5 linked regions of the Rattus norvegicus genome follow. The protein of the gene in region 4 interacts with the protein of the main gene of each other region in a biochemical or structural test. Links are inferred from orthologs where the notes say so. Each region holds a gene or a part of one and is shown on either strand. Other genes may lie near its edges. The genes, in order: Ncl, Srsf1, Nkx3-1, Top1 and Topors.

Evidence for each region.
Region 1: the proteins of Top1 (region 4) and Ncl form a complex in vitro, tested with the Homo sapiens proteins (2 studies listed by BioGRID and IntAct). The link is inferred for Rattus norvegicus from reciprocal best matches to the Homo sapiens genes TOP1 and NCL.
Region 2: the proteins of Top1 (region 4) and Srsf1 form a complex in vitro, tested with the Homo sapiens proteins (2 studies listed by BioGRID, with this or other methods). The link is inferred for Rattus norvegicus from reciprocal best matches to the Homo sapiens genes TOP1 and SRSF1.
Region 3: the proteins of Top1 (region 4) and Nkx3-1 form a complex in vitro, tested with the Homo sapiens proteins (2 studies listed by BioGRID and IntAct). The link is inferred for Rattus norvegicus from reciprocal best matches to the Homo sapiens genes TOP1 and NKX3-1.
Region 5: of the proteins of Top1 (region 4) and Topors, one has a biochemical effect on the other in vitro, tested with the Homo sapiens proteins (2 studies listed by BioGRID). The link is inferred for Rattus norvegicus from reciprocal best matches to the Homo sapiens genes TOP1 and TOPORS.

What each region holds. Positions count from the first base shown.
Region 1 is NC_086027.1:94,452,470-94,458,656, forward strand, and holds the start of Ncl (nucleolin), read right to left. Parts: upstream 3,615-6,187; 5' UTR 3,489-3,614; coding exon 3,471-3,488; intron 2,535-3,470; coding exon 2,418-2,534; intron 1,225-2,417; coding exon 723-1,224; intron 511-722; coding exon 322-510; intron 221-321; coding exon 134-220; intron 89-133; exon of another isoform or gene 17-88; intron 1-16. UniProt on the Homo sapiens protein: Nucleolin is the major nucleolar protein of growing eukaryotic cells. It is found associated with intranucleolar chromatin and pre-ribosomal particles. It induces chromatin decondensation by binding to histone H1.
Region 2 is NC_086028.1:73,334,168-73,340,386, reverse strand, and holds the start of Srsf1 (serine/arginine-rich splicing factor 1), read right to left. Parts: upstream 3,890-6,219; 5' UTR 3,766-3,889; coding exon 3,572-3,765; intron 3,153-3,571; coding exon 2,968-3,152; intron 2,618-2,967; coding exon 2,445-2,617; intron 2,248-2,444; coding exon 2,053-2,247; 3' UTR 1,683-2,052; coding exon of another isoform or gene 1,644-1,682; 3' UTR 1-1,643. UniProt on the Homo sapiens protein: Plays a role in preventing exon skipping, ensuring the accuracy of splicing and regulating alternative splicing.
Region 3 is NC_086033.1:50,881,738-50,887,780, reverse strand, and holds Nkx3-1 (homeobox protein Nkx-3.1), read right to left. Parts: upstream 4,121-6,043; 5' UTR 4,117-4,120; coding exon 3,822-4,116; intron 3,011-3,821; coding exon 2,589-3,010; 3' UTR 1,528-2,588; downstream 1-1,527.
Region 4 is NC_086021.1:169,710,928-169,717,152, reverse strand, and holds the start of Top1 (DNA topoisomerase 1), read right to left. Parts: upstream 3,959-6,225; 5' UTR 3,770-3,958; coding exon 3,737-3,769; intron 3,424-3,736; coding exon 3,399-3,423; intron 1-3,398. UniProt on the Homo sapiens protein: Releases the supercoiling and torsional tension of DNA introduced during the DNA replication and transcription by transiently cleaving and rejoining one strand of the DNA duplex.
Region 5 is NC_086023.1:60,185,152-60,190,612, reverse strand, and holds part of Topors (E3 ubiquitin-protein ligase Topors), read left to right. Parts: intron 1-3,025; coding exon 3,026-5,461. UniProt on the Homo sapiens protein: Functions as an E3 ubiquitin-protein ligase and as an E3 SUMO1-protein ligase. Probable tumor suppressor involved in cell growth, cell proliferation and apoptosis that regulates p53/TP53 stability through ubiquitin-dependent degradation.

The sequences.
Region 1 (6,187 bases), on a different chromosome or scaffold from region 4:
CATCATAAACTATAAAGCACATCAGCATACTGCATTTCAATCCCAGATGTTTCAGTATTAAGTCCCTTTGTTAGTCATCACTTGTGCTATTGCTACTCTGATCTCCTTTTAAGTCCCAATTTTGCAGGCTTACCTTCTATTTTCTGTTTCTTGGCTTCAGGGGCTTCTTTCTGCTTGGTCATCTCCTTCTTCCGTTTTCCAGGTGCTGCTTTAACAGGTTCTGCATGTTTTAAAATGTCATTCATGAGTACACAGACTTTTTAGCATTTCCATTAATAAGCATTACTTAAGTCAGCATACTTTATAAGTTAATCTGGTTACCTTCCTCTTCTTCCTCATCCTCATCTTCATCGTCCTCTTCATCTTCTTCATCTTCATCCTCCTCTTCATCTTCATCATCCTCATCATCTTCCTCCTCCTCGGCCACACTCTTGGCTTTCACAGGAACAACTTTTGCAGGAGTTTTCTTTCCTTTGGCTGGTGTGATCTCCATAACTTCTTCCTCAGAGTCTGAAAGAAAGATGGCTCAGTAGGCAAATGCATTTGCTACCAATCCAGACAACATAAACACTACAAATACTTAAAAAAGGAAAACCTTGAAAAGGAAATAAAAACCCATTAAGTTATGGAAAGAATTAAAAGCATAAAATATGAGTTTTTAATCCAACCATGATGGTCAGGGAGTGTACATGCAGTACTCAATATCCTAAGCTCTAACTCACCATCTTCCTCCTCCTCCTCTTCATCATCATCATCATCATCTTCTTCATCATCATCATCTTCCTCATCCTCATCCTCTGAGGCAGGAGCAGCAGGAGCTGCTTTTGCTGGTTTCACTCCTTTTACTACCGGTGGCTCAAATTCATCCTCTTCATCTTCATCCTCATCGCTGTCATCTTCATCCTCTTCATCTTCATCCTCATCGCTGTCTTCCTTCTTGGCATTCTTACCATTCTTAGCCCCCTTGGCTGGAGTGACAGCTCCCTTTTTACCAGGAGTTGGTACCAATGCTTTTGCTTGTGCAGCTCCCTTTTTACCAGGTGTTGGAACTACTTTGGCTGGTGTAACAGCTTTCTTGGCTGGTGTGGCTGCTGCCTTTTTGCCTGGGGTAACAGCTGCTTTCTTAGCTGGTGTGGGAACTGCAGCCTTTTTTGTTTGTGAAACAACCACCTTCTTTGCTGGAGTTGTGGTAGCCTTTTTGCCTTTCTTCTGAGGGATGACAACCTTGAAAGCAAACAAATCATAAGCATTCCTCTATATCCAATGCTATGTTAAGTTACTAACACAAGATAGACATTAGATATGTTTCTAAAAAGTAAAGAACTGGAGAGATGGCTCAGAAGTTAAGAGCACTTGTTACTCTTTTTTTTTTTTTCCGGAGCTGGGGACCGAACCCAGGGCCTTGCGCTTCCTAGGTAAGCGCTCTACCACTGAGCTAAATAAATCCCCAGCCCCACTTGTTACTCTTATAACAAGTTTAACATCCACATGTAGCTGTAATACCAGTTTCAGGATATCCAAGTACATTCTATTCTAGCATGAGGGGACCAAGCATGCTTAATGCACTCACACACATAAAGATAAACATTAAACCCTTAAATAAGGATACATGGCCTTCAATGCTTAAAAAACTGGACTCTTAACTCAGCACCTGAGCTTTTCTAAGAAATTTGATTGAGCATGACCATAAAAACTGTCCTGAGATAAGGTTTCACTATGTACTCCTATTTCTGTCTCCTGTGTGCTAGATTGTCTTTAAATGAAACTTGGGAATGTCATATCTAGCAAATGGGTTATTAGCAGCTTTCTACCCATACAATGTATTTTGAACAATGATTGGAATTAAGATTCAAATAAGCTGAAGCTCAGTGATAGGGACCAGTATTGCAAAAACAAACCATGTGAGATAAAGAATACGGGGAATAATAAATTTTGCTTAGAGAACAAGAATCTAAAAAGGCTACCCTCTCCTCTAAAGTGTCCAGCTTAGTCCCTTAATATATAGAAGGGGGGGTAACCCCAAAAAACTCACATGGTACCACCTAAGCTGAGACCCTGATTCCATCTCTACCTAGATCAAAGTCTGGGTTTCTCACTAAACTTGTCATTTGTCTGGATACTGTGGCTAACACCTAATTCAGGAGAACCTATCTGAGGTTAGGCTGGTCTACAGCTTCCTGTCATAATGTCCTGCCAAAATTCACAAAGCCAAGTGACCATGGACTGAATAAAAATTAGGCTAGAATAAGCAATTTTCCCAAAAACGGAGGGAAAACCACCCCACAAATCTACAGTAAACTCTACTCAATACAACATACGAAACTCTGCCCAGACACCCCCCCGAACTGACTGTTATTTCTGACACTTCCAGTCAATCTACCACTGCAAATCACACAATTTTTCAAATAGCATCCTACCTCCTCTTCTCCACTGCTGTCATCTTCATCTTCTGACATTTCTTCATCCTCACTATCTTCTTCCACCTCCTTTGGAGGAGGAGCCATTTTCTTGGACTCTCCGTGGGTTTTGCCGGCCTACAAATGCACACAAAAAAATCACCCGCATTGTAAGCCACTTTGTCCTCGGCCACCACCTCCTTTCTTACTAAAGAACACAAGCATAAAGACTTCTCGTGGCCAGGCACGACACTCTTCCTGGCAAATTTTTCTGAGAACTGCGCATAATTTGTCTTACAGACAGAAACCTTCACCAGGAAACAGCCACAGGTTTTTAAAGTCTACTTAGTCGTGGCACTTTATTTTCTGGCACGTTCCACAAAAAAGAAAAAAACCCAGTTAAAGGTTCCATTTTAACTATTTGCCGGGGAAGGGGGTTATCTCGAAGGCACCTCTTAAAAGCATCTCTGTATCGGAGCTACTTCCTACTTTCTCACGCTTACAGCCAAACCACGTGGAGTCACCTAGCCGGTCACCACGCGCTACCTCAGGAGCCCACCACGTGTCCATCTACCCGTCACGGTCAGGGACTGCGGATCGCTAGGTAACTAGGCCAACTCTACTGTCCCCTTTCCCGGTGTACTCCCACTCCCCTCACTGCCTCGGACGCGCGACACGTGCGGAGCGCCGTAACCCACGTGGCGGGCCGCGCACCGGAGCACGTGCGCCGGGAGGCGGGGCCGAGAGCGCTAGCCGCTTAAGGTTGGCCCACTTCACTCGCCGAGCCTCCAACCCCCTCTCCGCGCTCAACTCCTCCGACTTCCCCTCACACCGACCCCCGGCCCCGGTGCACTCTACATCGCCCTCCCAGAACCTGCCTCGGCTCCTCTCATCCCTCAAGTCAGAGGCCAAACACCGCGAGACCTCCCGCTAGTCGCGCGAGACTTCCCTCAGCATGGCGCCCTCGAACGCGCCCGGGACTGTGCGCAGGCCCTCCTCCCCTCCGCGACGGGCGCGCGCGCGTCTCTCAGAAAGCAGGCCTAGTCGTCCGTGTTCGCGCGTCAGGCCTATTACCTTTGCGAGTTTCACCATGATGGCGGATTACGGCGACGGCGTGTGTAGAGAGCGAGCAGCTCAGAAGAGCTTAGCGGAACCCACGCGAAGACGACTGGATCGGCGGGTAATGAAGACTCTGGAGCACGTACAACCGCCTGCCAGCTACAGCTAGCGTCTGAGGCAAAAGACTGAGCTTGCCCAGTAATCGCCTCTGGAAAGGCGACGAAGGTGTTCTCGTGACCTCACCTCCACCAACCAGAGCTCGCGTCCGTCCCCCGAACCAACCGCGAGCCTTAACCCAGGACGGCGTGGGTCGGGCCTAAAGCGTGGGGGAGGGCGGGGCTCTTAGGGGCAGGGCCTGACGTCTGCTTTTGAGGGCGGGACTAGTTTTGGCCAAGGCGGACGTTGATTGGTCAGTGTGCTGGTCCTTTGAGTGTTCCTGAGCGCCCGCTCGCTACACGCCTGCGCAGTGAAACGCGCGAGTTTGGCGCGGCTTGAGTGAGGCGCGAGTAGGTGGCGGTATGGCCCGGATTCCCTCAGGTATCCGTACGCCGCATGGACGTCTGTGCTTAGGTGGTCTGGGCATTTCTCGGGGATTTCCCTTGCGTAGCGGAAACCTGCGCCTCCCGGTGGACTTCTCAGGGGCCTAGAACGTTCGCCGCGCTGAAGAGCTGGAGAGCGCCGGAAGGCCTAGAGTTCATTCGGGCCGTTTAGTGGGCCTTGGCCTGCCCTCGGTAGAGGTGGCGGTCCTCTTGGCTGTGGTAGCCTGATGCGAGCCACCACTTTCCTGAGAGCTCCTAATAAAAGCAATTTCGCGCGCGCGCGCGCGTGTGTGTGTGTGTGTGTGTGAGCAGTGCACAAACAGTCCATTTAATCTCTGACCTCACGCGGTAGGTATAACTCCAGGTTCAGAGAGGTGACTTCCTGGTGTGTGGTGGGAGAAGTACTCGGCCTGCCTGGGACCGCTCACGAGTTCCCTCCGTGGCAGAGGACGAGAGAGTTGTCTTGGATTGCTTTAAACGGATTGCCACTAACTGGTTCCAAGCGTAGCAAACGGGTGCCCTCATCAGCTGACAATATCGATTAAAAATTACCTGTGGAGGTGCTGGTGGGGGTTGAGATAGGGCCTCACTATTTGCTCTGGCCGTCCTAGAGCACACTGTGTAGACCAGGCTAGCCTCGACCCGCGTCGTCACGCCCGGCCCAATCTAGAAGATTTGATTGGAGTTTTTTGTTTTTTTGTTTTTTTGTTTTTTGGTTCTTTTTTCGGAGCTGGGGATCGAACCCAGGGCCTTGCGCTTGCTAGGCAAGCGCTCTACCGCTGAGCTAAATCCCCAACCCCTTGATTGGAGTTTTTGAGATAGGTTTTCTCTTTGTAGCCCTGGCTGCCCCGGGACTCATTCTAGACCAGGCTGCCTTCGAACTCGGAGATACCCCTGCCCCCTCCTTTGCCATCCTCGGGAGATTTTAACTCAAGTGGGATGTGTTGAGACCCCGGGTTTTCTATCTGAACACGGGCCTTTGGAGATAAGTAGAAATAGTCACTGCGTGATGCTTACTTCCTAAGGCCTTCCCAACATGGTGGAGGGCAGCCACAGCTACACACAAGTGCTCTCTAGTCAGGGCAGGTGATGCGGACCAGTGTTGTGTGGGGGCATTGTCTTTAAAGTGAGACCGGTCACACCTTCAACTGTATAGTATGGAGCCAAGGGAGACTCTTGGGTAGAGGGATAGGAAGGATGGTGTGAGGAAGACCTGGATATTTCCAAGCAGAGCAAGCTAAAGGCATTCGGGAGGAGAGAAGATGAGCTCTGAGTGTGAAATGACATGACTTCTCTTTGTCAATTCAATCTGTTGGGCTTTCCTCAGCCCTCTGGTGTAAAGTGCCACTAAGAGACTTACTCTTGTGACCCTAGGTTACACTGTTAGGTATTATCAGTTGCCTAGTACTTGGGCGTTTATTGTTAATTTGCCCCTTACCCAGACAGAACACGGATTGTTTATTCTTGGTACCTAAGCCATTGCCTGGCATATAATAGTTTGGAAATTTTGCTAACTGGAGTGAGGAATGTGGCTCAATGGTAGGTGCACACAAGGCCCTAACTTAGGAACAAGTTTGAGTGCAGCAGCAGCAGCAGGGACAGCTAGTACAATTTGTGTTGCAGTGGAGTCAACAAACACCTAATACATATGTGGTGCTTATACAAATTATAATTGGATATAACCATATCAAATTGGATCCCCCATATCCCTGTAGGAAGCATGGGGGTGGAGGCTTGGCAGCACATAACTAACTCCAATACTGGGAGTTGTGGAAAGCAGAGACAAGAGGACCCCTGGCATCTGCTAACAAGCCTGTCTAACCATAAAAGGTGATCTTGCTCAAAAAATAAGGTAGAGATGGTGTGAGGATGTTAGTGCCTGCCTGGCATGCACAAAACCAAGATCAATAACAGTGTCTAATTTTTTTATACAAATAGAGCCAGGTACCAGATTTTATTTCCGTCAGCTCTTTAGGAATTTTAAGTTCATAAATGTATTTGAAGGAGACTAAAAGTGTTGCTGCTCACAGACAAGAGGGCACAGAGCAGCAGTTCTCAACGTGTGGATCCTGACCTCTTTGAGATCAGTGACCCTTTTATAGGGATCGTACCAGATATCCTGCATACGTTACAATTCATAGCAGCAAAATTAGTTATGAAGTAGCAGTAAAAATAATTTTATGGTTGGGGGTC
Region 2 (6,219 bases), on a different chromosome or scaffold from region 4:
ACGCTCTTAAGACTTCCACAACAGAGACAGTTATCATTTATTAGATTAAATCTTTAATTTACTAACACATAAACAGAATCAGAATCTCATCAAATTAATTAACTGATACACTAGTTACCCAGTCAAAATTTTACATGAAGAGGAAAAAGGACAACCATGCATCGTTTTTTAAAAAATGTTTATTTTTTCAAAGAAAAATGGCAATAGCCAATTGGAAACCTACTTATTCTTCAACTCCAATTTTGTTTTCTTTAAATTTAGAAGTGACTTACTGATTTACTATTTAAAGCAAACCCCCCCTTTTCCCCTTTAAATGTTTACCATCTACTCGTGCTGAATCCTTCCAAGGAGATTGCTCCAGCGTATATCTCCAGGTCCTCGCTTTGCTCCTTTTACCAAAAAATGCAAAACACAATTCCATCGTGCATCTTAAGGGCTCCAATCGTCAAAAATAGGAAAAAAATTCTTTGGAATAGCCAATTAAGTTGAATGAAAAAAAATCCACACGAATGCGGTTTGGTTGGGGCAGGAAGGAATCCACTCCTATGTTCCTGGTAATCTGATCCCGCTCCATGAATCCTGGTAATTCATCCTCCCTATCCTATCCACATTATGATTTGAATCCAATGATCCAGCTCCAAGGATTGGGATCCAGTGAGCCCTCTCCAATCCAAACCTTTATAACCAGCAAAACCAAAAAAGAGGAGGCAAAATGTTAGATACTGTAACCAAAAAAAGTTTCTGGGGAATGATGAGTTATGTCTGTCATCAGTTTACAGATGTACATCAATAACTATCAAATTCCCCAAAACAAGTTTTCTGTATGGTGTTCAGATAAATTTTAGAAACTTAATCACTACAGAGACTAACTGGAAGAAGCACTTTATATTTACAGTTCAACTGATAATGCCAACATTTGTTACTGTACAGGTATCACAGGTTTTGTGGTTGCAAAGTTATGTAATTGAAGTTTACTGGTATTACTACCCACCTAAATCTAAACTAAATCTATTGCTCCCATCTGCAATTTAGCTTGTAAATTAAAGTGTTCTAAACATGAGTCAATTATGAATATTAAAAGGGAAAGTGAGACAAAAGTATTCCCAACTAGATTATCTACATTAATATGTTGGAATTCTATATTTTGCTGTCATTTTTGTCTTTAAAAAATGAAATAACAACGCTCTATCAGTCACACAGAGGACATGCAGATTTAGCAGTATTGATATTATACTCTGTTTGGAAATAGACACCCTGTACCCACATGTACACCAACAGCAGGCCACACATTAACAGTTGTAACTAAGCACTGTGACAAATTAGCCATTCTTCCCACATTAGTCCCTATTAAAACAAAAAGGGGGGAAGGGAGCAAATAACTGTTACAAAACGGGCAATTTTGCCACAATTGCCAAGGTTTTAAAAAGCAAAGCAATTGTAGCTGAAGATAACTGCATAAGATGTTTGCAAGTCTTTTAAGGTAGATAAAATTTTAACCCTCGCCTTTTAGTATAAGGTCAATACTGCCAATTTCATCTGTGACAATAGCACTTGGAGTCATACCATTGCCTCCATTATTGATCTGATCCTCCTCAATCCTCCTTTTGACAATCCTAAAATGATTGAAATGTGCTCCACAATCCTTAATCCAAAGCATTCTTAATCCATCTCTTCAGATATGTCTACAGAAAGACACATGAAAAGCAAGATAAACATAAGAACTTCCCCAAGTAAGATAACCACAAACACCCCCAACATCCCATTTCACACAAACCAGAGCAGAATAGACATTTACATAATATCACAGTCTGAAGAGCATGGAAATTAACTAAATTTAAACAATCCTGTCTATGACATCACTTAAAATACAAGTTACCAAAGACATGAGGGGAATGTAGATGTTAGGAGCAAGGGGATATTACACAAGAATGCAATTCAACACTTTAGCCCATTCTGAACAAAACAGTTTGAATTAAAAAAAATGAAAAGATTGTACTGAGTAAAGGAAAACTGTATACAACATGGGTTCTACAAAAAGTGTCACCAATCATCTTATGTACGAGAGCGAGATCTGCTATGACGGGGAGAATAGCGTGGTGATCCTCTGCTTCTCCTTGGGGAGTAACTGCGACTCCTGCTGTTGCTTCTGCTACGGCTTCTGCTACGACTACGGCTTCGAGATCGAGATCTTCCATAACTTGGACTTCTGGGCCCATCAACTTTAACCCGGATGTAGGCAGTTTCTCCCTATTGGATAGACAGAACTTTCCATTGAAAGATCTAAGCTTTTACCTGTCTTTCAGACAAGCTGAATGAATACAAAGACAGACCAGGTCTCTGGTAATTTACTCGGACACCCTTGCCTGTATCCTTACCTTCAAATTCCACTGTTAAGAAAACTGTATCCAATTCTGGCCAAAAAAAAGAATAAGTGTATAACCTACCTCATGAGATCTAAACTTAGTGTTATCCAGTTTTCGAACTGCATACGTCATATCTTCTTTCCGTACAAACTCCACGACACCAGTGCCATCTCGGTAAACATCAGCATAACATACATCACCTGCTTCACGCATGTGATCCTTTAAGTCCTGCCAGCTTCCACTCGGAGGCAGTCCTGAAAAAGTGAGTCCCTCCAACTTAATACTACTTAACCTGTCCCACATCAAACGTGTAAGTACATTAAAACAAAGATTAGTTTAAAATACTTAATGATTGTACTTAAGTGTTTCCAGGTAAAGAGCTGGTAAGAGTCAGATCCAGAGTCCAAATTTATTTGTAAAGGATCTTCATAGGCTAGTACTGCAACCTAATTTGGGTAAATCACCACCACAGTAATCTTCATTTACTAAATTCACCCGAAAGACCGAAGTAGTTTAAGACCCCATGTTTAAAGCAAAACAGAAAACTTGCAGACCTCAAAACAATCACGCGGGAAAAATTTTAACCCGCACGAAGTCAACTCACCAGAAACAACCACTCTGTTTTCAGACCGCCTGGATGGCGGGCCATAGCGGCCTCTCGGGGCTCCGCCGCCTCCACCCCCGCCGCCGCCTCGGCCGGTCCCACGGCCGCTTCGGGGAAACTCTACCCGCAGACGGTAGCCGTCGTAATCGTAGCCGTCGCGACCGTACACCGCATCTTCCGCGTCTCTGCGTGTGATCACAGAAAGCAAAGGGGATGAGGAGGGAGCCGCTGGCAAAGCTAACTCACTCGGGAACCCGCGGACAGCGCACATGCGCACCCATGGTGCCAGAGCCCACATGCGCTGCATAATAGGACCGGCCCCTCCCCCACCCAGAAACACGCCGGGCAGACTCCCGACCACCACGCCAGCCCTCAGCGCCTCAGTTTCCCGCTCCGGGGCTGCGCATGGGCTCTGGGGACGTCCGAGGCGGTCAGCCACCGGAGACAACGCGCCGACTCGGCTCCTTACTCGACTCCTGCAGGGGCGATAGCGCCTCGCTCCCAGCCTCGGAGCCCCTCCTTCCCCCATTATGTTAAGGCCTCGGAGCCTTCCCCAACTACTCCAGCCTATCTCCTCAAGGCCGCAAGCCCCACGCTGCCTCACCGCGGGTCCTCGAACTCAACGAAGGCGAAGGGCGGTCCCCCGCGGCGGTTCTTCAGGTCGATGTCGCGGATAGCGCCGTATTTGTAAAACACGTCCTCAATGTCCTTGGTTCGGATGTCTGGAGGTAGGTTACCCACGTAGATGCGGCAGTCGTTGTTCCCTGCCGGGCCACGAATCACACCACCTCCTGACATGGCGGCGACGAAAAGCGCGGACTCGAAAAGAGGCCTTCCCACCAAGCCTAGCGTACGGCAGAGCGAGCCCTCAGCGGCACCACGTCTCCCGCGGCCGGTCCAAAATGGCGCCTTTATCAGCTCGGCGCACTGATATGGGGGGGAGGGGGAGGAAGAGAAGCCGGAGGAAGCGGCTATTCCATTTCAGTGCGCACGCGCACGAGCGTAACGGGTGCTGAGAAGTACGCTCGCGCACGCGCGACGTCACCCTCCGCACGGAGGGGAAAAAGTCCCTCGGGTCCTGGGCTTATGGGATGATTGGCTGGTGGAGCGGCCAGACGTTTGGTAAAAGTCACATACTCTGGTTAAAGGGGTTATTACCAATCCTGCTGAGTCCAGGATAGTCGGTTTCCTCTGGCGTAAACTCTCTCTGGAAGCAGCTCGGCGCTTTAAAAAGATTGGGTGAAACCTAGCCTGCAACTGTGTCCCAACATGCTCCGCGGTGGTAACGGCCTTTGGCGGGAAAGGCGTAGGGGGCGGAGCTAGATGACGCTGGGTGTTGCTCCGGAAACCTGGGCAACTTTAGCACTTCGGTGCGGCCGGCCGAGTTGCAGGAGATTCGTTTAACAGCCTAAGGGGAGCTGTGTGGCTTTTGCTTCTGCGAACCTGCGGTGGGCTGCATTTTACACAGTTAAAAGTGTCTAGACGGATCCTCCATATCTATTTAGATGAACCGTGCCTTCGCTTTTTTTCTTCCTCCTTTCAAAGGATGAAAAAGGAAACGTGATAAAATACTAACTGCTTCTTTGGGCCGAGATCCGGGTTCGGTGCTAGTCTAGGGAGATAACTTTTTCCCCGAGATTATCTGAAATAGGATTTTTGTACTGGATACCACAATTTTGCTTCTTTGTTTTGTAATAACGGGAATAGGAGAGTTTTATTTGTGAAATCATACAGGCTTTTTAATTAAAACAAAACTAAGCTGGACTTAAGTCTGTGTGCCTGAAATCCTATCACTCTGGGAGCTGAGGCAAGGAGGTGATAAACCTACTCTGTGATACACATTTCTATTAAAGGTCAGCCCGGGACATGCAGGGAAACCCTTTCTATTAAAATTTTTTAAAAACAAACCTTTTTCTTGGCATTGTTTTTGAGTTTCGGGTTTCTGTTTTGGTTTGAACAGCCCCTGGCTGTTTTGGAACTCAGATCCTGCTGCCTTCTAAGTGCTAGGATCAAAGATGAGTCACCACCTCCTGGCTAAAACCAGAACCTTTCCTGTTTAGATAATAAGACAGCCAGGTGTGGTGGCGCATTCCTTTCAAAGTAGGCCTCAGAATCTCAGGAGTTCAAGGCCAGCCAGAGCTGTGCAGTTCCTATCTCGAATAAGTATGCTAAATCGGATCCCCGGAAATTTTAAGGTTGATTCTCTACACTGTAATTTTTAGTTTTCAATTTTATTTTATGCATATTGTGCCTTGGGGTGGTGGGTCATGCCCCAGCCCATGTGTGAAAGTTAGAAAATAAAGTGCAGTTCACCACTTGCACTATGTGTGGTCAGGCTTTTGAGGAGCATCTTTATCAGATGAGCCATCTGCTGCCCCTATACATTATCATTTATTTACCACAGTCCAGGGATGTAGGGCTGCTTAAAATGAAACCATTAAATATTAAGACTGGCTGGAGAAATCAAGGACAACGGGGATGGGGGAGGGGCAGAAGTGTTGTATAAGATTTCTAGGCAAAATGCCTGAAATAACTTGTTGAATTTTGAGAGATCAACTTCAAATTTGACTAGTATCCCCAGAAGAAGAGGAGAGCATAGTATATTCAAATTTTAAGTGATTTTGAAATATTAAATATTAAACAATTTTGAAATGAATTTTACAGCAAGCATGGGAGCCCACATGGATAATCTCAGCACTCAGGTTTAGATAACAAGGAAAATAATGAAAACACTGTAGGTCTAGGTTACATATGAGACCCTGCTTCAAAAAACAACAAAATTGCATTTTGTAAATGTCTTAGTGACCAAAATAAAACAAAACAAACTCAATTTGAAATGATCAAAGATATTTGTTGAAATATGGGGGAAATGAGAGATTTTTGTGGGGAAGGAGAAAAAATGATTTTTGTTTGATTTTTGAGTCAGGGTCCCCTTCAACTTCTTAGGCTAGCCCTCCTCCCTCTTAGGACCACCTTTTTGAAAAGTGAAATTTTTGTTAAATCTTAAAGGTGAGTATGGGTGGCTGGTGTCTCTGCCCTGGAGAAGCTGAAGAAGGGAGATAAAGAATTTAAGGTTATCCTCTATTCCCAGTTCAAGGCTGAGCTGATCTATGTAAAACACTGATTCAAAGTCATGGTGAGGCATGCATTTAGTCCCATAGTTCATAAAGCAGTGCTGAGAGGCTGGCTGGGAGTTCAAGGCCACACTGGGCTATGTCGTGAGTTCCAGAACAGCCAGGACTATGTAGAGAG
Region 3 (6,043 bases), on a different chromosome or scaffold from region 4:
TTCCCCTTGATTTACCAGGATGGGAGGAAAGGCCACTGCTTGAAGAAACCTCTTGGCTACTTGCTGAATTGCCACTTTGATTTTGTGGCCTGTAGGGCTTGTCAGCCTTTGAACTGCCAAGGGTGCTGTGGGAACATGGCCACCGTGAAAATCCAAGCTAAAAAGAAACCCCGTTCATAAGAATCTGAAAAACACATGCAGGTGTCTAATAAAAACATAGAGGCTTTATTTTAAAACATTTATCTGTTGCAAAAAACAACATAGAAAAATAAAGTTGGATTAGAGTACTCTTCTAAATGTCAAGTGAAGGACTTTTATGTTAGAGCAGGGTTTGCTAACCAACAGATGAGACAGGACAGAAATATGTTACCCAGGTGATTCCCAAAGCATTTTCCAGCTCACATGCTGGAGACAACAGGTCATATTTCTACCAGTTCGGGTGTGGGTGAATGATTAGCTCCAGTAGGAAGAAACCAAAATGGAGTCAGACCCCCCCACACACAAATAATTTTAACCACAAGCCTTTCCCTTTCTGACCTTGCCACACACTGCACGCTCTAATAGTTTAATCTTAATGGAAGTGCATGCCAAAAAAAAAAAAAAAAAAAAAAAAAAACAAAACCCAAAAAAACCAGATTCTAGTCAGAGTGAAAGAAGAGAAAGTCAGGGCCAAAAGACAGATAGGGAGAAGTGAACCAGACCCCTCCAGCTTTGGTGTGGTCTAATGCTGCCACAGCAGTCAGCAACAAGCGGCACCGAACAATATTTTAACATGGGGCTGTAAAAGAACGGGGTGCAAGAGGCCAAATTTCCATCAACTCCCTTTGGCAGTTTTGCCACCAACGGTAATTTGGCCCATTTAAAAGGAGGAAATTAAAAGCTTTCTCACTGCACAGTACTGAGTGGTGGGATAAAGGGATTTCCTGGCCCCAGAAAGCCTCATTTGTTATAGGTGTGTTCTGTATCTCCCACTCAGCACTGAGGTATCAGGATGGAAAGGGAGGGGCAATCATTTTTCTTTTTCACTCCTCCCGTTTTAGGGAAGCCCCTAAACACAGTTTTCTAAAGCATTTACACACTCATCTGTGGATGGACGCTGTAGTGAGGTTGTATTTTGAAGACAGTTTACCTTTCCTCATAGCATCTTTCTGCAAAGCTATCACTCCTTGCTTGCTGGTTGGCTTGGGCTGACAGCTATGCCTGGGCCAAGACCCCTCTCTCTCCCAGACCTGTCAGCAGTGCCAGCCCTTCCTTTTGTCCTGTTCTTCCTTATGTATGAAAAGCAGATGCCCCTTGATCTCCTGTGCCTACAGGGACCCCAATGGGCACAAAGCCAGCAGAAAGTCCTGTGAAAGAAACCATGATCTTCAGCTCTCGTGGTCTTTTAAGTAGGGTTTGGGATTTAATGCTAAGTATTTTTAAATTAAAGAGATAGCGTTTCTAGTTTTTTTTTAAGTATGTCATATTTTTAAAGGAAAGAGATGAGTTGCTAGGTTTTTTTTAAGTATGTCATTTAGTCAATTCATAATCTGTCTGAAGCTAGTTAGTTATTAAACTGGGAAAGATAAAACTTGGGAGGTGGTGGGAGCAAATCTTACACTAAATAAGACAGGCATATATGAAAACAATGAACTGAGGAGTCCTGTAAGAAAGAACAAGAAATAAAAGAATAGAAGGAAGATCCTTTGTTTAAAAATGATGGCACCTCTGTCATAATGAGGTGTGAATTCTCAGACCAGGGAAGCTGCAGGATCTCCTGAGTCTAAGATCTCCCCTCCCCCTTCACTGGTAATAAAATGTCATGACCGAAGCAGCTCACCTGGAGTTTGGAAACCCCATAGGCCCTTGTCTTGGACAGGAAGTCTGTTCTGAAGCCCACCCCTGCAGGCAAACTGTTTACACAGCTTGTCTTAACCCCCTTCAGTATATGTACCCTGCTGCACTCAGGCTGCCCTGTAAATCCTTGGATTGGCACATCACTGCAAAAGGAGTAAGAAGTTGAAAATGCCACCTTCCAGCCCCTTCATGTCCTATGCCAACCTGCTTAATCACTAAGGTTTTTTCTCCCCTTCTTCAAATCTCCCGTTTACCCTCACTTTTACAAGGGCAGAGGGAAACTCTGGTCAGAGTCCAAGGCCAACAAGAGACTTTTAAACACAAGTTTAATTCAAGAGGAAATCCTCATCTAAGGGGCCATCCCTCCCCTTGCTTGGCCCTTTCATGATACCCAGTTATGGGAGAGGATGAAATTGCAGCAACAGAATTCTTAGGAACGATGTAGCCATTGCAGCCATAGCCACTCTAAGCTCTGGAAATAAGACTTGAACTTGTCTAGCTCTCTCTAAACAGGGAACTGACAGCCGTGACCTACAGAACACTTGGAACTGTGACTACATAATAAAATGTCCACTGCCCCAGATCTTTCATTGGCCACCAGAGAAGAATCGGAGTATTCCCTGGGAACACCCAACAGTTTGTGTCTGTACACTTCTTGCTTTCAACTCCTTGACATCAGCCACTCTGGCTTTTTCCCAGGGACCCCCAGGGAAGGCAGTTTCTGATCTATGCAGTTGTCATCTGAACTGTTGTTACCAGAAAGTTGGATGCCAGCTGCCCAGACAGTATAGGTAGGGGTAGTAGGGGTAGCTAGCATACACGGAGACCAAGGAGGCCCTGGATAGGCTGTCATCTTTCAGGGTTGGCAAAGACAATGTGGAGTTCTTCTCCAAGACTCCCAGGTCTTCTGACAGCTGCCTTCGCTTAGTCTTGTAGCGTCTGTTCTGGAACCATATTTTTACTTGGGTTTCGGTGAGTTTGAGGTTCTTGGCCAGGTGAGCCCTTTCAGGGGCGGACAGGTACTTCTGATGGCTGAACTTCCTCTCCAACTCAATCACCTGAGTGTGAGAGAAAGCAGCCCGGGAACGCTTCTGTGGCTGCTTGGTGACCTGGGGGGCACTTGATAAGACTGGAGTATGTTCACAGTCCAACAGATAAGTCTCAAAATGTGCATCTGGAGAAGAACAGAGGAGAGAAGAAAAGAGTTACATGTTAGCCCAGAATTCAAGCCACCTTTCTGTGTTCAGCTAGGGAACAAAAAGCCCACTGTCATCTGGATACATTTTGCTTTGTTCGCATGACTAAGGAACTACCCCGAAGAAGCAAGTAGGTTTTTATACTATGTATTCGCCTCTAATAATCAGTGTGAAGTACACGTAGTTGAACTTTCTGCCTTGTTTTACATCAGTGAAACGTGGATCCTGGATGTATGAGGTAAAGAGAGGTGGGTGACGTGCCAACAGGGAAGACCGAGGCATCGAGGCATTGTGGGGACATTTAAGTGGGTGACTGAGGTTTGTGGAGATGAGCAGGTAGCCTGGGATGGTGAACAGATCATTTTCTGCCCTAGTCCCCTTTCTGTGACTGTGGCTTAGTTACCAGCATGGAAAATGGTTGGGGCTGGGGTGGGATAAAGGCGTAATCGATCCTATTTCTAAAGTCCTAAAGGAACATCAATAATTTTATGGCTTGTGGAATGGAGACCTAAGGAACCTAGGAGTGGCCTTGATTTATTGATGGTTACCGTTAGTTCTAGTAGCCAGTGGTAAAATGGCTGGAGCCCCTGGAAAAGAGTCAAGCCTATGACAAAGTTATTAGCTGCCCTCAGGGTTGATGCTCAAGGTGGCTCGGTGCAGAGGACCCTGAGGTCCTTCCTGTGGCCATTCCCCCACCCCCACTCCCGGATGCCTGTATCCAGAGCTCGTGGCCATCAGCCTGAGAGCGTCCTCTCCTGTGGAGCATGCCCTTTGGTCTATTCCACTTACCTGACTCGGTTTCAGCCCGTGTCTCTGTGGGGCTCGACCGGATACCTGGCGGGTCCTCCAGAGTCACACTGCTACCCTCTGCTTCGTCGAGCTCTGAAGCAGAATCCCTCTTAGGGTCTGGTTGGCACTGGTGCTGCGGGGTGCTCGGCTGTCCCCCACGCCGCTCTGCGTGGTCCCGCAGGATGTCCTGGATGAGGAAGGACGTGAGCCGCTTGGACTGCGTGGGTGGCGCTGCCCAGGGACTGCGACCACCCGCCTCCAACCGTGCCTCTTGGGGCTCCGCTACCCTAAGCATCCCGCCTCCACTGCGCGCCGCTTTTGCTATCGCTAGGTCGCGCGCACTTATAGCCATGCTGAGCGCCGCGCCGCCCGCCCATTGGCCGCGGGAACACGGCTGCGCCCCGATTGGCTGCGGTGGGCTCCAGGTGACCCCCCAAGAGGCGAGCCCTGCGCGGAGTAGGCTCCAGATGCGCTCTTAGCCTTTCCTGGTTATCCCCTCATTCCCTTTCCCAGATGAGCCACAGACCCCAAACTCTTACTGGATTCGCGATGTGGAAGACCTGCGAGTAGCTCTCATAGATCGGTAAAACGTCCTGGCCCACTGAGCTGAGCAGGCAGGTCCTTTCACCTACCCCAATTGTGTTCAGATAGCAAGAGAGATTGATAACAAAGTCAGACCTATCTACTGAGTGGTTCTAGGTCTGACAATCAGGCTCACGATGGCCCCACGCTGGATTCCCAGCTGGACACATGTGGACAACCAGCAAAAGTATATTAGGGAAGGTCAAAGTTGTATAGCAGTGTTTCATTTCCTGAGTTGACCATATGCTGTAACGCCAGTAAAGAATATACTTAAGAAATAAACACTCAAGCTGTATTGGGTGGCGTGTCTTTAATCCCAGCGAAGACAGGCAGAGGTAGGTGGATTTCTGTGATTTGGAGGCCAGCCTGGTTTACACAGGGAGTTCCAGGACAGCCAGGCCTACATAGTGAGGCCCTGTCTTTGTTTACAAACAACACACACACACACACACACACCACCACCACCACCACCACCACCACACAAACTAAAGTGACAAAAGAAACGAACACTCAAGTCGGGGCTCCCCATGTCTGTCACTTAAGTGTCACGTGGTTCGGGGCACTGCTTTGGGTTGGTAAACAGACCCTATCTGATAAAAGAAATTTGCTAAAATAGTAACATTCAGTGGAAACTGAGGGAAGCCCACGTTGATTTTTTTTTAATTACTGGATGCAACTAGAGTCTGATGTGGTCTAAGGCATGAGGACTCAACTAGAATCTGCTCTGCAGGGTACTACATTGTATGTCTGAGGAGGAAGAAAGAGGAACAGGTTCTTGAGAATACAGCAACTGCTGAAGGAAACTGAGATGAATAACCGGAAGGCCTTCAGAAAAGCTAGCTTTCCTCCGCATTTTACCTAGACTTATTTTCCTTTAAAAAATATATATGTATATACACACACACATATAATATATGTATATATATGAAGTTATAGGTTTATTGGGAATGGCAGAAATAACAACTTGAATGTCCCTCATGATAGGATTATTTATTTAGTGTATATGCGCTCGTGTGTGTGTGTGTGTGTGTGTGTGTGTGTGTGTGAAGAATTTCCTCTTCCTCCAAGGCCCACACATAAATGCTGTTCCCCAGGGAGGTACTTTGGAGATGCTTTGGACCTTTAAGAGATGAAACCTAATGACAGGTCCTCAGATCGTTGAGGACATAAGGATCGTAAGCTACAATTTTCCCTCCTCTCCTGGCCCCAGTGTATGAATTTTCCCACCAGCCCATGCTCCTCTCATGTTGTTGTACTGCACCCAATTAGGCCACCTAATTTTGGGCTCGAAGTTCTAGACTCATAAACTACAGCAAACATGGTTTTCACTTAACTGGTCTGCATCTGGGTTTTGGTTGGAATGGCAGAGACTTAGTGCAGCAAGTCTCCTTTCTCTGCCCAGGGGTGCAGTTGCTGTGCTGGGCAATGAGGGGGTAGGTGGCTCCTTTGGATCACCAACCTGATCAGAGTTTTAGTGAGGCTTACCTGTGGGTGTGCCTGTGAGAAGGTTAACCGTGGCAGGGAGGGGCAGAATTCCACCTTAAGTGTGCAAAGGGGGAAACATGGAGAAAGCAAACTGAATGCCGGCTTACTCTTCTGTGTCTTCTGGCTGACTGAGATCTGAATATGCTCCTCCCATG
Region 4 (6,225 bases):
CAAGGAGTCTGGCTCTAAAGGGTAAAAAAGACTCCACTGGAATCTAATACTTACATTCATCCAGACTAAATCTAAAGATTTCCAGATTTCATTTGGAGAAACAACCAGTTTTCAGGTTTAAAGCCACATTATGAGCCTTCTCATTGCCTGTCATCACTCATATACAACAGACAGCAAGCACAGAAGTACAACCATTACAATCAAAACAATTCCCTTCATTCAAATTAAATCCATGAAACCTATCCATAATATACACATTATCAAATCATAATGTAATGAAGTTGAGTAATTGGAGGAAGCTCCATTAAGTCCAATAAAACAGACAGTAACTTAAAGTTCTTGAAACAGAAAAAGATTCCCAGCACCTTAAACTAATGTTAACAACTGTACAGCTAGGCATCCTGTAATGACTCACCCCCATTATGGCTAGTGCTACTGACAAAAGGAACCTTTTTCATTCAGGTGAGAGGGAAGTATGAAGTCTGGGCTATGCTCCTGAAATGACTAGCTCATTGCTAAAATCTTCAATATAAATATACTACACAAATAACATTTCACAGCAGTTGAGTATTACCCAGAATGTTCTAAATTTCACACAAAAGGCTGTAAATGTTAAGTATCCACAATGGGGGCTGGGAGGAAGTCTTTTACACCTTAGAGGATTTGGGCAAGCAAATTAAGGTGGTTTTAATGTGATTGTTCAGGCACACTTAAAATCATATTTAAATATCCTCTCACTATAAAGATCAATTAAGCCTGGTATTAAAAAACTAGCTTTAATTTTTTTAAATTGTCTTTCATATTTATTTGATCACTCACTAGTTCACAGTGTATACTTGAAAGAGCAAAGTTACTGACACTAACATCTAGACAATAACTACAAAGACATCACTACAGCATCAGAACCTTAAGGTAGTAGGCACACAAAACTGCTTTTGTCTTCAAATTTTTGGCAAAAAGTAGATGGCCTGCCATCAGTATTTCCCTTTCCCTCTAACTGCCCTATACAAAACAGGAAACGTCATTTCTTCATAGCAGCAGCATCCCTATTGCACGGAGGGAGGCTAGGTTCATGGCTTTAGAGTACACTCAGTTTCATCTCAAATGGAGATAACAGTAACTAACTCATAAGGGTCCTTCCAAAGAGTAAATCAGGTGAGTTGAGATTCAAGCCTGACAGGTGCTCAATAAATACTAAATATCACTGTTGGAAAATGGAAAAATAGCCTAAAAGTTAGCACAGGCAGTTTAATTCACTCTATAAAAATGCAAAGATAACATACCCAGACCATAACTATGCACACATTCAATAGCTCTTTTGTATTTAAATGAGAACAATGGAAGTTAAACTTAAGAGGAAAAAAGGCTCAATTTTGTTTCATTGCTAAATATAACACGTACTAGGCTCAACTAAAGAGCAAACACTTTTTCTATATTTAATTCCTACCTTCCCTCAGAACCACTTTTTACATCTATACCTACCACATCCTTTTCTGCCCCCTTTTCAAAGAAGCACATCTATATGCTTGATGGTCTCATAGCCCTCTTTTAAAAGCCTGACAGGATGGACAAATACTCCCAAGAAACAATCCAACCCCTGACGATTCTCAGCACCCAGTCTTATACAACACCCTGCTCAGTCACCTCTGAAATTACCCACCCCCAGATAAAATTAAACCCTTTATGCTCCCAAAGCATTTTGGGTACACATATACATACTCCAACACCTACCTTGTAATTAACTAATGACTCCCCCCAGTAGGCTGAGTTGAACAAAGACAGATGTGGTGACAGGTTCAATTCTAGTACTAAGCACAGTACTGACACATATTAGGTGCTCAAGAAAAGCATAGCTTTACCTAGATAGACAGATTTTCTAACTCAGTGCCATCTCTCTTTGGGTGACCCACTTCAAAATATAAAGGTAAGGCTGCTTTCTGTTGGGTAGACCAGTACTATGGACTTCTGCACCAGAAAAGCTTACCCAATGGCTTCTCTCACTCAGTTCCCCAGAACCCAAACTCAACTGAACACGATCATGTGCCATAAGAATCTGTGGGAATTTCCAGTATACTACAATGGAATTGCTGGAAAACTCATAAATGGGAGCTTCTTACTGGGGTGGTGGGAGATACCCAGGAACATTCTTTCCTGGGTAACCGGTGTAAATATTTAAAAAAACAAATGACTGGAAAGGGCTCAAAAGTGTAAGGGTGTGGGAAAGCTAGCTAATTCTTGATTCCTGAAAAAACAGCAGCCCCTGAGAAGAATGAGCAAGTGGACAGGAGTCAGGGCTGGCCACTCTGCTTCAATAAATAAGACCCCTTTAAAAACTCCATATGACCCTCAAGAAAAGGCCAGCACATCATGTCCAAATGATTAGCTCAACAACCTTTCCTTAGGACGAGCACACTAAACTATGTCTCTTTAAAAAAAAGAGAGAGAGAAAGAAAAAGGAAAAAACCTGCCTTGGGAACCCTAGCCACAATAGGAAGTTCTAGTCACTAATACTTTTAATTTTTTTTAAAAGAAAATATGCTCAAGTCCAACACTCACACTAGGTGACACACAGACAACTTGAAAACTTTTTGAAAGGGAGGTATCTTTGCAAAGAACACAACTTGGGAAAACAATCCCCAAATACAAAGAACTCCATGAAAGATGGCTTTAGTTTTAAGAACCATAACTGCTATCGTAAACATCTCACCATTTAAAAAATAAATTAAGAAGACGAAAAAAAAAGCCCATAAAACCCAACAGCTACCCTTATGGGAATCTTTCATTCTGGAAGCACACACAGACACAAAAAAAAAAAAAAAGGAAAAAGAAAAAAGAAAGAAAAGAAAAAGAAAAAAAAAGCAAGCAAACACGAAGCAGAAAGCAAGTAACTTCCAAAATAAAGTTCTATTAAGAAGGAAAAATGATAATTTCGTCTCTAAGCCTTCCTTCTCTGGTGAGGTCTGTGATTTATATGGCTCTGCTCTGCAGAAAGCTCTTTCTGGACAGCTCAAGGAAGGAGCCGAGGGAGGGAGAGAAAGACACAGGCACAGAAAGGAGAGGAGAGAGAAAAAGAAAATGGCGCAGAGACTAAGTCCCGACCGTCGACAAGGCGACTTTCCCGGGAAGAATCCCGGCGGAGAAAGGCCGCCCGAGACCCAGCGACGGGCGACGCGGGGTCTCCAGTGTCCCCTCTGGGGAAGGCCATGATCTGGGGGTGCTGGGGCCCCGGGAAAGGGGGTCCACAGGCGGCCCGATGGGAACAATGGGGCCGGTGAGCGAGGAGCCGGGACTTAGTCTCTGGGACGCCATGTCTGTCCTCTGCCCGGCTCCGGCCCGGCGCGGGGGAGGCAGCCAGCGGCGTGTGGGGACACTCGGGGCGGGGCGGGGGGCACACTCACCATTCAATCGGAAATCCGCTTCGATCTGAGGAAAGAAAAGGAGGGAAGATGAAACAACCCGCACATGAAGCCCCGGGCCGGCGAGCGAGAGCGCGCGGCCGGGGGCCCGGGCTCGGTCCCACCCGGCGCCCCGGAACCCAGAGGCCCGCGAATGGCCTACCCGGGGCTGCCATCCCCCCCAAACTCCAACTTGACGGCTCCGCCCGGGGCCCGACCATCCAAGCGACTCCAGCCGGCTGCCCCTCACCGCGGAACCGGGCCTGTCAACCCGGCGCGGCCGGAGGGGCTGGAGCCGGAACCCGGCGGCCGGCGGCGAGATCGGGGCCGGCGGGTCGCACCTGGGAGTCGTTGTGGAGATGGTCCCCGCTCATGTCGGCCGGCGTGCGAACGCTGCGGGCTCAGAGGCAGCGCGGGGAAGAGAGGCGGACGGTCGGGGCGGCCTGAACAGGCGGACGGAGCTCCTGAGAGGCACGAACAGACGGCGACAGCAACCAAGGGCCCAAGACTCCCCGGGACAGCTGAGGAGGCGGCGACGGCGGCGGCGACGCTGCTGACAGACTGCCGGGCGGGCGGGCGGCGAGAACAGACCCCAGCAGTTGTGTAACAGCCTAAGTTCGCATTTCCCCTCACTGCGCCTGCGCGGCCGCTTTTAAATGGGACGTCGCCGACGTCAGCGCTCGTGGAAAGAGGCTGAGGGTTGCGGCGGGTCTCTTAGAGGTCCGGGAGACAGAGCCGGTTTTGCCTTGCAAGTTCCGCCCCTTTATTAGCATATGGCCTTGGCTCCTCCCATCCTATGCTTTCTGCCTTGCTTCGGGCTGGCGTTCTCAGAGGCGGTACGCCGGCTCTAGGCAGTGCGCAGGCGCAGCGCGGACACCGCCTCTGGACCCTGGACACCCGTGCAGCCACGTGGTAGGCCTTTAAAGGCCGCGGCGGGACCCAGCTGGGCTGGGCAGGGACCGAGTCTCCAGCCTCTGCATTTCTAGAACCAGACAAGTTTGATCCGCGCGTACCTTAGCTACCGGGATCTCAGCTCACCAGCGGCCCTAAGGCACATGTAGCTGGAGTCTTCTCACAGCCTTTGTCCAGACCTCAGACTTCTGGATTACTTCACGTCCATTTTTTAAAGTTATTTTAATTTTTCAGTCAGGTTTAGCTCCAGGGTACAAACTCATACATGTAGCCCGGTGTCACAAGTGCCCTACTGCATTTGTTCTTTTTTCAAATATTTATGAAGCACCTACAGTGAGCCAGGAATTACTGTTGATGTGGGAGGGCTGCGGTTCCAGATCAAAGGGAATTGGATTCCCCAGGTAAATGGTTCCTGATTCTATTCAGGACGCTACCCCGGGAGAGAACTATTATTTAGGGAGCACCATGCTGTGAGATCTGCCCTGAATCCTCACAGTCCTAGGTGTGGACCATCTACTGTCTTGAGGGATTAATGACATCAACACTTGGATCGTAGGCTGAATTCATCTCCACTCGGGCTCAATTCCCCCCTAAGTCAAAATATAAATAAATTCGGAAAACCTTCATAAACGTATTATGAGAGATAATCACTTGGGATTAATTCTTGTAAATACTTCAAAACTCAACTAAACGCCCCTTTCCACATGCCGATCCTTCCTACCTCTCTCCTTTATAACAGTTACCACAGTCTTTAAGTTACTCATAGGGGAGCTAGTGACCTCTTGTCTGTCTCTATATAATTCGAGGTCAGTGAGGGTGAGGACCTCTCCATCTTGTTCAGCACTTAGTCCCCAGGATTCATCAACAGGTCCTCTGACAGAAGAGCCCAATAAGCAAAAGCAAGTACAGTAATGCAGTGGCTAAGAGTCCACACTTGGAAGTCAACTGGCCCATTTTTGAATTCTGCTTTCCCATGCAGAATTTTCCTATTCTGAGTGACCTTGGACAAGTTGTTTAACCACTCTGACTCCCGGTGATAATTGTCTTTAATAAACTATCCCAAACAAACAAAAAGACCTTGTTGGGGGGCATGTAGAAAATATCTATCATCTAATATTTAGGCCTGCCTGATTCCATTGCTCTTTCTCCGTAGCCATATGCCAGAGTCAGTTTTGCCTGGCTTAGCGTCTCTCCTCAATAGCCTTCCCATGTCAAAGGGCCAGCAGGCGAGGCATCTGGTTCCCACCCATTTACTGCAGTTAGGCTGAGATAATTCAGCCTTCAAGAAAAATAGTCCTCTGCTTTAGCTTCCAGCCCCTGGTAACTTGGGATAATCGTCATTGGCTTTCCAGATCCCTCCCAGGAAGTCCAGCTAGACATAGAAACAGAATGCAGGCTCCAGAATGGTGTATCAAAGGTGGTAGTGTATTAGACTCAATCATGCCTACCCATCATCGGGCCATAGATTAAACACCTCTGCCTCCATGTTTGGCTAGTGATGTCCACGTGACCACTCTCTTCTCCAACTAATGATCCCACGCATGGTCTTATCGCTTGAGAGGACTTTTGGTCCTACACAGACGAACTTTGACATTTTTTTTTAAGTGGACGTGTATCTATTTCAATGTGTATGTTGAAAAAAAACCACTTAACTGCCACATAAAACCCATGGAATAACTGTTTAAGCTAAAGTTTTTTTTTTAGATATTGGGTGATTAATTTTAAATAAAAATATTCAGCTGGGCGTGGTGACCCACACCTTTAATTAACTCACTACTCCACACGCAGAAACAAGGGGATCTTTGTAAGTTTGAGGCCAGCCTGGCATAGTGAGTTTCAGGCTAACCAGCGTTACATAATGAGACCGCTTTTATTTATTTAAAAAAAAAATCCAGGAATAGTACAGAGAGGGAATATA
Region 5 (5,461 bases), on a different chromosome or scaffold from region 4:
ACTGATCTCCCCCCCCCCCCCAACTCTACTCCATTGTGTTAACTAACTAAAATCAGTGCAGATTCCTCTGGCTTTTAGAGCTGTGTTTAGTCAAAGCCTGGGTACCAGTCCATATTCCCTCATCTGTCCGTTTCTTCCCTCTCTGCTGTTTGTGTGCATTGAGCACTTACTGTCTACACTACAAAGGAGAGGTTTGTTTTGTTTTGTTTTGTTTTTTGTTCTGTCTTTTTTCCCCATGTCTACCCATTCACAATGCAGACCAGGCACAGTGGCCTGGTGAGGTGTACACAGGGCACAGTGGCCTGGCTGAGGTGTACACAGGGTGCAGTGGCCTGGCTGAGGTGTACACAGGGTGCAGTGGCCTGGTGAGGTGTACACAGGGCACAGTGGCCTGGCTGAGGTGTACACAGGGCACAGTGGCCTGGCTGAGGTGTACACAGGGCACAGTGGCCTGGCTGAGGTGTACACAGGGCACAGTGGCCTGGCTGAGGTGTACACAGGGCACAGTGGCCTGGCTGAGGTGTACACAGGGCACAGTGGCCTAGCTGAGGTGTACACAGGGTGCAGTGGCCTAGCTGAGGTGTACACAGGGCACAGTGGCCTAGCTGAGGTGTACACAGGGTGCAGTGGCCTGGTGAGGTGTACACAGGGCACAGTGGCCTGGCTGAGGTGTACACAGGGCACAGTGGCCTAGCTGAGGTGTACACAGGGTGCAGTGGCCTGGTGAGGTGTACACAGGGCGCAGTGGCCTGGCTGAGGTGTACACAGGGCACAGTGGCCTGGCTGAGGTGTACACAGGGCGCAGTGGCCTGGTGAGGTGTACACAGGGCGCAGTGGCCTGGCTGAGGTGTACACAGGGCGCAGTGGCCTGGCTGAGGTGTACATAGGGCGCTGTGGCCTGGCTGAGGTGTACACAGGGCGCAGTGGCCTGGCTGAGGTGTACACAGGGCGCAGTGGCCTGGCTGAGGTGTACACAGGGCGCAGTGGCCTGGCTGAGGTGTACACAGGGCGCTGTGGCCTGGCTGAGGTGTACACAGGGCGCTGTGGCCTGGCTGAGGTGTACATAGGGCGCTGTGGCCTGGCTGAGGTGTACACAGGGCGCTGTGGCCTGGCTGAGGTGTACACAGGGCGCTGTGGCCTGGCTGAGGTGTACACAGGGCGCAGTGGCCTGGCTGAGGTGTACACAGGGCGCAGTGGCCTGGCTGAGGTGTACACAGGGCGCTGTGGCCTGGCTGAGGTGTACACAGGGCGCTGTGGCCTGGCTGAGGTGTACACAGGGCGCAGTGGCCTGGCTGAGGTGTACACAGGGCGCAGTGGCCTGGCTGAGGTGTACACAGGGCGGGTTCATTCTGCCTCTTTCTTTCTTTTTTTTTTTTTTTTTCTTTTTTTTCGGAGCTGGGGACCGAACCCAGGGCCTTGCGCTCGCTAGGCAAGCGCTCTACCGCTGAGCTAAATCCCCAACCCCTCTTGGTTTTTTTAATGTCTTAAAAACCCCTTTTTCTGAGTGGGTTAATTAAAAATAGAGAGAAATGAAGAGTTCTAAAAAGAAAGTGGAAATATCTGAACCATTAAAGAAACATTTGTTTGGATTAATTGACCTCTTAAGGTATGGTTCTAAGAAAGTCAAGATGACGTAAGTGAACACACTTTATTATTTTTTTTCACGTGGAGGAGGTTTATTGGAGTGGCGGGGATGGGGGGTAGGGAAGAGAGGGAGAAGAGAGGGAGAGAAAGAGTAGAGGCCAGCCGTGAGCATGTGGAGAGAAGGCATTCCCTCTGAAGAGGTGGAAGAGGAGCACTATGCTCAGAGAACTGTAAAGAAAGGATTGTTTTCATATGTACAAGATGGTTAGTAGAGCGTTTAGCACAGCAAAGGGTTAATGGGTGGGGGGGCTGAAATACATGTTTGGTTTCAGCCTCGGCCAACTCATTCCGGAAGTAAGCTACAACGTGATGTGATAAATATAGAGAAACTGATCGTTAACATTCTGGTGTGGGGTGCAGACAATGAGGAAGGAAACACCAAGCATGTAATACACCTGTGGCTTCACTCTTAGATTCAGCAAAAAAGAAAGGTTAGCTCTGGCCTGTGTGTACAGTCAGCGCACTCAGGAAGCAGAGGTGGTAGTGTTGCCTAAGGTTGGGAGGGCAGTCTGGGCTACACAGTAAGACCCAGTATCGACATAACCAAGACAACAGCGAAAGGAGCTGTGGAGGCTCCTTAGAAACACTTAGGAATGATCCACGGTTGAGCATAATGCATGGTAATGGATGGCTGTCTGTCTCATGCAGTCCCCACAGCTGACACTCACTTAGCTGCTGCCTTCCGCTGCTTTAACACTGAAAGACCATGTTTCAGTCAGGCTCTCACTGAAAACTAGAATGTGCTTAAACAGGTGAAATCTCTCAAATGTAAAGTACTTTGTAAAAGCTGTTTCAGAAAAGTTAATGTACTGTATGACGTGCAAAGTTACGTACACATAAATTGTTTCGTATGCTGTTTTATATAAATATACAGTATATCATGAATAGAGTAAATCATTAGAACATAGTGTTAGAGGTATATGTGTCTGACAAACACAAAACCATACATGAAAACATTAGAGGACAAGAGGGGTTTTTCTCTTTTCTTTTTCTAATAGCCCAGTCTAGGATGGGAAGATAGTGGTCACAACATCTGAGATAACTGGCTCACTGGAAGGTTACTCATTAAGTCTGAGTGAGGAACATAGGTACCTGTTTGCTTTTGTGCTTATGTGCTGTGTCAAATACTTAAAGACTATGTAGGCTATGGTATGATATCTAAGAGCTTACCACGTACTGGTTCTTTTCCTAACACTTGAGGGTACAAAGAGAATTGGATCGTAGGAAACTGATCTTGGAGCTCGTCTGTTGTTAGGCTTTTATTATGTACTGTCTTTATGTTAAAACCATTTTTGCTGAAGTATGAACCGAGTCTTCATGAAGCTTTTTTGTTTAGTTACCCGATTACTGAGTTACTGATCCATTTCTTTCCCTTTTACAGATAATGGCCTCAGCTGCCAAGGAATTTAAAATGGACAACTTTTCACCTAAAGCTGGCACTAGCAAACTGCAGCAGACAGTACCGGCCGATGCATCTCCTGATTCTAAGTGTCCTATATGCTTGGATAGATTTGATAATGTGTCTTACTTAGATCGCTGCCTACATAAGTTCTGTTTCCGCTGTGTACAAGAGTGGTCAAAAAACAAAGCCGAGTGCCCACTGTGTAAGCAGCCCTTTGATTCCATTTTCCATTCTGTGAGGGCTGAAGATGACTTCAAGGAGTATGTGCTAAGGCCTTCCTACAATGGTTCTTTTACCGCCCCTGAGGTTCGAAGATTCCGCTACCGGACAACTATGACGAGAGAACGGAACGCCTCTCTTTACTCTCCCAGTAGCACTGTCAGTAGAAGAACAAGCACTCCGCCAGACAGTGGAGTGCTGTTTGAAGGGTTAGGCATCTCAACAAGACCTAGAGATGTTGACATTCCTCAATTTATGAGACACATGGCATTAAGGGGGCCAACTGCTACAGATGAGAGGTCTTTGCGGAAAGTTCAAGAACAAGATATTATTAATTTTAGGCGCACTCTTTATCGTGCTGGTGTTCGAGTTAGAAGTATCGAAGACGGTGGCCGCTACAGGGATATTTCAGCTGAGTTCTTCCGTAGAAATCCAGCTTGCCTTCACAGATTAGTTCCTTGGTTAAAACGTGAGCTTACCGTTCTTTTTGGAGCCCATGGCTCGTTAGTCAATATTGTCCAGCACATCATCATGAGTAATGTCACTCGCTATGATTTGGAGAGTCAGGCATTTGTGTCGGACCTAAGACCATTTTTGCTTAATCGAACTGAGCATTTTATACACGAGTTTATCAGTTTTGCTAGATCTCCCTTCAATATGGCAGCTTTTGACCAGCATGCTAATTATGATTGCCCTCCTTCATCTGAAGAAGGCAGCCGTTCTGATTCTTCAGTTATTACAATATCACCAGATGAGGCTGAAGCCCAAGAGCTAGATGTGAATGTATCCACCATCAGGCAGGCACCATGGGATGATGAAACTCCTGGACCGTCATATTCAAATTCAGAGCAAGTGCATGTTGGCGTGTCTTCCCTTTTAAATTCTTCGGACAGTTCAGATGAAGAACTTGTTTCTGGAGGAGCCGCATCTCAGATACAAGGAGTACAGGCCAATGACGACGTAAACAATGACAGCGATTCATCATCAGATAATTGTGTCATTGTTGGGTTTGTTAAGCCATTAGCTGAACGGACCCCAGAACTTGTTGAACTGTCTTCTGATTCTGAGGAGTTGGGCTCTTATGAAAAAATGGAAACAGTGAAGACACAAGAACAGGAGCAGTCTTACAGTTCAGGTGATAGTGATGCTAGTCGAGCTTCATCTCCGCGTTCTGTCCTTGGAAAAGATGAGCAGATGGGTAAAAGCCATTGTGATTCGGACACAAGAATAAACTCAAAGAAAGAAGAGAAACGATCTACGTCATTGTCAACTCCCAGGGACAGCTCATCTACAAGAGGTGACAGGGCATGTTCCCCATATAACCATCGACATAGGAAGGGAGGAAGATCCAGGAGTTCAGATTCCCGTTCCCAAAGTAGAAGTGGACATGATCAGAGGAATCACAGGAAGCATCATGGGAAGAAAAGATTGAAGAATAAGAGATCCAGAAGCAGGGAGAGTAGTAGCAAACCTAGAGCGAGAAAGGACAAAAAGAGATCAAGAACTAGAGATAGCAGCTGGTCAAGAAGAAGCCAGACCCTTTCTCTAAGTAGTGGAAGCACTAGTAGATCAAGGTCTCGTAGCAGTGATCATGGCAAGCGAAGATCACGAAGCAGAAATCGAGATCGCTATTATTTAAGAAATAATTATGGAAGCAAATACAAGTGGGAATATACTTACTATAGCCGAAACAAGGACAGAGATGGTTATGAGTCGTCATACAGGAGGAGGACTCTTTCAAGAGCCCATTATTCTAGACAATCTTCAAGTCCAGAATTTAGAATTCAGTCTTTTTCTGAAAGAACAAATGCCAGGAGGAAGAACCACAGTGAAAGGAAATACTACTACTATGAGAGGCACCGATCGAGGAGCGTGTCGAGTAATAGGTCGAGGACTACGTCAGCTGTCCCTGACCGGATGAGAAATGAGAAGCCTGGAGGGAAGCGGAAGTACAAGACCCGCCATTTGGAAGACACTAATGAGGAGGCACAACCGTCTCGTGCATTTGCTTCCAGAGTGAAGGAGAGTCATTACCAAAAGCCATCAAAATTGGACGGAGGTTCTAAAGACGAGAGCGATAGCTTTTCAGATAGCAGACCATCAGACAGAGAGACAAAACACAAGAGGAGGAAAAGGAGGGCACGGAGCCTAAGTGTAGAGATAGTTTATGAAGGAAAAGCTACAGACACAAGCAAA